2 linked regions of the Coturnix japonica genome follow. The protein of the gene in region 1 purifies or fractionates together with the protein of each later gene. This does not show direct contact. Links are inferred from orthologs where the notes say so. Each region holds a gene or a part of one and is shown on either strand. Other genes may lie near its edges.

Region 1 (3,658 bases):
AGCTTGTGTATTAGGAAGAAATTCTTTACTGTGAGGCTGGCGAGACAACAGATTGCCTGGAAGACTGGCCCTCCTCTGGAAGCATTCAAGGCTAGGCTGGATGCGGCTGTGAGCAACCTGGTCTAGTGGGAGTGCCCCTGCCTATAGCAGGGGGCTGGGTTTAAATTGACCTTAAAGGTCCTTTCCAACCCAAACCATTCTGTCATTATATGAAAATACTGCATCCTATACATGAAGTTGGTAAACTAAGTGTGTGTGTACATGTACAAAAGAACATGTTGCAGACATTTCAAGCAAGAGTTCAGAAATTTCTAGAAATAATGAGACTTCTGAGGAATCTTGTCATGGCTTTCAGTGCAAGGAAAGAATATGATAGCTAAGACACATGAATGGGGCAACATTCAAATTTAAGGTTGCACAAGTCGGGTTGAAAGATGTAATCATTTGTAATCCACACTGTGAAAACGGTATGGAAGATTCTTGATACAATTTATCAGAAACTTCACTAGGAAAAAACAAAAGTAGCTGCCTTACTCATTGCAGCTTCAACCTTTTCGTATTGTTTTCCTGACACTTCACATATTCCACAATTCAGATTCAGTAAGAGAGTATGCTGATTAATTTAGTCTGAGGTGCTTACTTCTGAATAGAGTGGTGGAGGCAGAAAGCGGAATTCTTGGATGTACGCAAACAATGGTCCTTGCAGCGCTCTCTCAAAGTCATCACAAGCAGCTACAGGAGGGAGGCTGGACTGTCTCTGTTCCTCTGTGACCACTTCTGCATAGCTGGGAGGTGCTGCAGGGAAAAAGTACACGCAGTTCAAACAACAGTTGTTATGCATTTCAAGATACATGAGAAATATTAAACTTATTATTCCAAGATGCATTGGCAGGTAGACAAGTGACTTCAGTGACAAAATAAAATTGTTGAAGGAAGACTAAGAAAGGAGTAAATTTATTTTACTTTAACGTTATGCTCATGTTTATTAACAGGCCAGCATCTGCTTACTGCGGCTTAGTTAACTCCTCACCCTTTAAATACTCATATTTAAAGCACAACCTGAACTCTGAGTGTATCTGTACAGGTTAAGTATGAAGGAACTGAATGTAACCCTTTACTCTAGAAATGTACGACTTAGTAGTAAAGTGATGTTTATCAAATATGTGTGAGAACACAGAAAGAAGCTAATCCGTTGTTAAGGGAGACTTCCCTTTGACAAGAATAGCATCTTCTCACTGAGACAAGTCAGTTAAGACTGGTAAAAAACAAAAACAAAAAACCCACCAGAAACTGGATTTATTATGGAGTTACAATGCCTTATAACTAAAGATGCAATTAGGATACTGGAAAGGGAATCACTTCTATACAGGGACACAGGAATCCTGAGATTTTGCCTTCAACAGTTTCTACACAGCTGGATGACAACTATTTTTCCTAGAAAGAAAGTCAAGGACTAAGTGAATTCTGATCGAGCTCATAAAGGTGGCAAGAAAGCATCCACAAGAGACTTCCTGTCACCTTCATTATAAAAGGATGTGGTCTGGGTCTGACAGCAATGAACAAAGCATACTAAATTGAAAGCAACAAGACTAGCAATTTGATTAGGATTTATGTTGTGACATTACCTTCTGGTCTTTCAGGCAGTGTCAGACCAAGCCAGTTCATATTCATGCTACACTGGCTGCTCACACTTGATGTCCTGCTACCAAATGGGTGTAGAGGAATGGTACCAATGACCAGTGGTAAGTTAAGGAATAAATCCATGGCTCCTGGAATATCAACGTAGACCTGAACAAAACAAACAAAAAAATATGTATGATTACAGTGTACACTTGAGTCAATACTTAGTCTGCTAACTCTTTTTGCCATGAAATTCTCCAGGAAGAACTTATCAACTTCATGGTGCATGTCTTTAAGGAGACAGATTCCACAATTTATAAAGCAGGATTCTTAATCTGAGTCCACACACAAAAATATCTACTAATGACATGTTTGTTTAGATAACAAATCACAACTGTTTAAAAAACCTTATGACTGAAGTAAAATTCACTTGCAAAACTCCTGCTGGGACACTAGTACTAGCTACTAGGAAATGTAGTCTCTTGTAGCTAACATAGAAGGCTTCACTAGCAATTTTTTTTTTAAGCACAGTGGAAACTAAACATGCTTCTGCATACCATTAGTGAATACTCCACACGGATTATACTACAGTCAAGGATTGAAGGAGAAACAGGTGGAATTTTCAGCGCTTTCCCATTCCAGGTTTCTGTTTTGCCAGATGATAAAGATTCTCCACGCAGGTTGGCAACAAGCTGTTTGACTTCCTTCATTTTCCCCTTGGCATAAAATGCCTGTGTTTGGTAAATGGCTGCCTTTGGCACCACCACACGGGAAGAGCAGTTCTCAATCTCAGCAAAGATCTGAATTGATTCACCTGAAACAAAACAGAATTTAATGTAATGTTTGCATTTACTAAGCATCTTAAGTGAACTGCCACTTGATACTGTTACCACACATTAGACTCTGCTATACCCTTAGAAACATCCATTGTTCGTAAAAGGATAGGATCAGCATAACCTAATCTAGAAAAAATAATGAATAACTCAAAAGGAAGCAAACATCGTTCAACAATCTGCAAACAAAACTAGCATTCTTCAACAATAAACTGAGATGATGGCTAAATGCAGACTGAGATGCTAAGAGTAGTTGTAATATTTTGTTTATATGAAAGCAGTTTTAAAAGGGAAGGAAAAACACTTCCTATAATTACTTTTGTTACGTACCTGGGGTGTAGCCCTTCCTTTCAATTTTGGCACTTAAGGATATTGGGCCTGAGGTACAAAACCAACAACAGAGAGTCTTTTCTTTTGTGCCTGCTTGGGGTGACTGCAAAAAAAGAACAACATTGGCAGTTTAATCGAGAGTTCCATGAATCTGCTTGTATATTTTAATCCATACCTCCAAATTATTTGTCATGTATTTATTGTTAATTGATAAGCAAAGTTTGTTCCATTTATAATTAAAAAACCTCAAGCAATTTAAATGGTCCAACACAGATACACGGCACATCCTATTTCACTGCTCTTTCAGCGATTTTTTTTTCTGCCACCCTCTAAACTACTGTCATTTTTAAAACAGTGTGTGACTGGAAAATAAACACTGTGTGGCTTGGAAGACTTTATAGCCTACATATACCAACATATTGTTGGCAAAGCTTCCTACTGGAAGGCCTTCCCACTTTCCATTACACAGCATTTCAGAAACAATAACTAAGTTTAGGTACCACAACCTTAGCTCTTCTGATTTCTCCTGTTTCTGAACAATCCTGTCTCATCTATAATGAACAGACTTTAATTTTATGTGGTATCAGGATTTCGGACTTGATCCAAAGCCCATTAAAGTCAAATGGGAGTCCTTTGATTTTAATGGAGTTTGTGCAAGGCCAATGTTCTGCAAGTCTGGTTTTTCACTCATACACACAAGAAACCTATTTCAATGGACTTTTTTTTTTTTCCCCTCCCACAGATTAGTTTAAGGGGGAAAAAAAGAAATCTTAAGCCAGATTGAAATCAGCTCCTTACTGAAAGCGGTTGCAACACTAAGATTTTAATAAAAATGACATTTCTGAAAAAGATCATATATAGAATTGTGATAATTT
Region 2 (3,658 bases), on another chromosome or scaffold:
CAGTGGCTTTCAATACTTGTGTTAACACAGTATTGCATGAGCAAGTCAGTATGTGAGCATTTATTTCAGAATTCTCATCTGTATTACAAGGAGGCCCTTGCTGTTTCTTAGCTTCACATCCCGTGTCTTGGGTAAGATTTATTACAAAATCTATGGAATTTTACTACTTGCATCCTTCTTTTTTTAATTTATTCTGCCATACTCCGTAACCGATACCCTTTAGTTCAGTTATTCTTTGGAGTATTTCTGTTTCTTGGGAACAGGTAACTTAAACTCTCCAGGATCTCAGCTTAAGCCCAGGGGCAACATCTTAGGAACACGAAACAAAACAAAACTTATATTAAAAAAAAAATAATTAATTAATTGAAAAAAAGTGGATTTCTCCCTGCAGTCATCCAACATTTTTTTATAATGTTGTAATTCAGAAACATAAGCACACACATCCAAAAAAGCTCAGTGTTCACAAACACTGTAAGGTTTCCTTACAAATACTGCACATTTTAACACAGTAAGTTAACTGGGAACAGAATAAAACTGAAACAGGACTCATTCTAAAAAGAAAAAAACAAAGAACAAAAACACAGTAAAGACCACCTCTATCACCTACCACTACATCGGGTTCAGCAGACCTGCAGTAGTAACTGACATTTTCATCTTAATAGCATAATAGCAACACTTCAGTCAAGTAACTGGTTGCAATAGTCAGTGGTTATCCACATTATGGATAATAAAGGAAATGCACTTTACCTATGATTTTCTTGTTAAAATTCCTTTGAATCCACTTCAGATTCTAGAAAAACTCGTGCTCCAGCTTTTGGGCATTCCTGCACAGCCTGCAAAGTTCTCCCCCATTACTTCACGCCTGCACCGCTCTCTCCTAGCTCACAGCCATTCTGCTTATATCATCCCCTAATCTGCATTTGTCTGTTTGATTTTTTCCTAAATAAGCAAAATTATGTACTCCACAATCCCTATTTTCAACAAAGCTGAACTACATGGTAGAAACTTTCTGAAATAACTCTGTCTAGAAAAATTTACTGGCACAAAATAAAATTAAAATCCAATGTAAGCATTAGTCTTTGTCAATGAACTGAACTGAGATCATAGTTTTACTAATATAATTTCTACCCATAACAATTGCCAAAGCTGCCAGTTCTACCTCCTTACTACATTAAGGGGAGCTAAAGAACTAACCAAGACAAGACTGTAAAAGCAAGCAGTTACTTTCTGAATTGAATGACATGAGAAATCATAATTAGAATGCCATTAAAAAAAAAGAAAAGGAAAAAATAACACTTCCAAATAAATTTTATTTTACCTTGCCAATCCACCATAATCCAGTCCTTCTTCTCCTCTGAATATAACATATAATCTTCTCCTCAAATCATAGGGTTTTAATGCCATAATCTATCAAATGAACAAAATTCATACTGAATTATAAATGATGTATTTTCAATGCAATTGCTCCCTCAAATTTAGATTTAATTGTTACAGATAGACCACATAGGATAAATGTTTACAGGGATTTGAAAAGCAATTACAGCAACTCATGGAACACGCAGTCAAGGAACTGAACAAAAAAATACCAACTCAGATTGAGTAGCAGACTGTGAACAAGGAGCAGAGCTTATCTGGAAATTATCACTACATGGTTGCCCTTTTCTTATACAGCTCTGAAGGTACACATTATCTCCCAGTCTTAAAGGAAAATTGGGTAAAAGGCTTTTCATCTCACATACTACAGATGTTTAGAAAACTAACCTAAAAACGTGCTTTCCTCTGATCTGAAGTGAAATATACTTTCATTGATAATACACTTTTAGTTTAAGAGGAGCCTACTCAAAGAGGCTTTGATGTAACAAGGGCAGGAAGCATTTGATCACTACAAAGAAGAAGGAATATACACTGGCTACAGACTGAAGCTGAAAAACTTGAGCTTATAAACGTAACAAATTTTGCGGTCTTACTTGCTGGAAGGAATCCTCAAACAAAGTCTGTCTGGATACATTGATTTTCACATGGCTTGGCAGTGCATTGGACTGTAATCATAAAGTAATAATGTTACAAGGCAGAAAATACGTTTATGAAAATTCAAAAAGTCTCAAAAACTAAGTAATTACTTAATCAGTACCTGACACAAGTAACGGAAATGAGCAAGTTTCCACCTAAAGCTACGCTCATAGGCAATCTGTGGCCCTTTATTTCTGTAAGGGAATATATTTGAGACACATTAACCACACAGACATCAAACAGAACTTTCAACACTAAACAAGAGTTTGCAGATTTCAAAAATGCACAAAAAATTGCAATCGTAAGATATGATCAGAAATGGAAATTCTTAATATATGTCCCAACTCCTTTTTGTATTATTTCCCAAATAAACTAAACATTTGGTTGGCCAGTCTTCCTTTCCTCACCCTTGCCACACATACCTTTTTGCTGCTGCTGTTAAAGATACTATTCAAGTTAAAGATACTACTCAAGGGTAGAGATTCTGAGGATTTCAAGTATTTATCAATTTCATAAAAATTAAAAGCCAGATAAAGGAAAGACATCTACTATATTGTCTTCACTGAGAAAGGCTGCAGTATGAACTTAATCACATCATAATCACCAGGGGTTAACATAGGTTATAAAGGCTTCATTGGTTTGAGGAACCAAGAAGAAATTTATACTAGACCAATCTACAGGTTCTTTGAAGGAACTGCCACTGATGCATCAAAGGTAAGCCATAAAAATGCTACTATACACAAAAGGCATTAAGACAGACACCATCAGCTGGGTCAACATATCTGATTACCCTATTTAGAAATAGAATATCTGCAAGTAAAATTTTGACAAGTATTGAGAACTTGATTGTTTAGCCATTAATATTATTAGAGCGTATATAACTATAAGCAATGCATCTTACAATCATTTGTTGTTTCCATTAAAATTGTCTTTTAGTTAAATTAGTTGAATTTACAATGTACAGGCTTACATCACTTCCTTTCTCAATTTATAGTGTAATTAAAATCTTTGTATTTGAACAGTGCATAAAAACTATTGAACCTTACAGTAATATGGTGAAGTGTGGCACAGAGAAACTGACAATTAAAAGTTTAAATTAGGTTTACAAGAAAACAATATGTTCAAAATTTATTGCTCAATTATAGCTAGAAGCATAGACTGTTTTCTGGTATAAGAAGAATTGCATCATTGAAATGTAACAAATGAAAAAGTTAGAAAATACTTTTACATTTCCTCACTTACACAGAAGACTTCCCGGTACGAGGATCATTGAAGGTGGTAGTTCTTGTATTATGATCAACAAAGTATCGTACACCTTCTCTAGTGTATCTGATTTCCCAGCCCTCTGGAAGAGGGTCCTCATTTTGTAAACTGCAGAAAAAAAATTCAGGCAGTGATGTTTGCCTCCTGCCTATATCATGACTTTTAAAGCAATGATTAAGCAAGATCTTTTCATTTATACAGTCAATATACACACCTACCCTTGGGTTCGAGGGTCTTCCCACTGTGTTGTCTTTGTGTTATGATTTACAAAATACACCCTATCATTTGAATCCACTCTCCTTTCTAGGGAGAAAGAGAAAACAAACAAACAAACAAACACACACAAACTATACAATAATTGCAGTCCAAATTTCTCTAACTGTCA

What was found.
Region 2: the proteins of ARRDC3 (region 1) and WWP1 purify together in Homo sapiens (affinity purification with mass spectrometry; 4 studies listed by BioGRID and IntAct, counting the BioPlex papers as one, with this or other methods). This does not show direct contact. The link is inferred for Coturnix japonica from reciprocal best matches to the Homo sapiens genes ARRDC3 and WWP1.

What each region holds. Positions count from the first base shown.
Region 1 is NC_029547.1:52,957,127-52,960,784, reverse strand, and holds part of ARRDC3 (arrestin domain-containing protein 3), read right to left. Parts: intron 2,887-3,658; coding exon 2,784-2,886; intron 2,435-2,783; coding exon 2,178-2,434; intron 1,789-2,177; coding exon 1,626-1,788; intron 796-1,625; coding exon 641-795; intron 1-640. UniProt on the Homo sapiens protein: Adapter protein that plays a role in regulating cell-surface expression of adrenergic receptors and probably also other G protein-coupled receptors.
Region 2 is NC_029517.1:111,480,816-111,484,473, reverse strand, and holds part of WWP1 (NEDD4-like E3 ubiquitin-protein ligase WWP1), read right to left. Parts: intron 3,577-3,658; coding exon 3,492-3,576; intron 3,382-3,491; coding exon 3,253-3,381; intron 2,205-3,252; coding exon 2,132-2,204; intron 2,040-2,131; coding exon 1,968-2,039; intron 1,408-1,967; coding exon 1,319-1,407; intron 1-1,318. UniProt on the Homo sapiens protein: E3 ubiquitin-protein ligase which accepts ubiquitin from an E2 ubiquitin-conjugating enzyme in the form of a thioester and then directly transfers the ubiquitin to targeted substrates.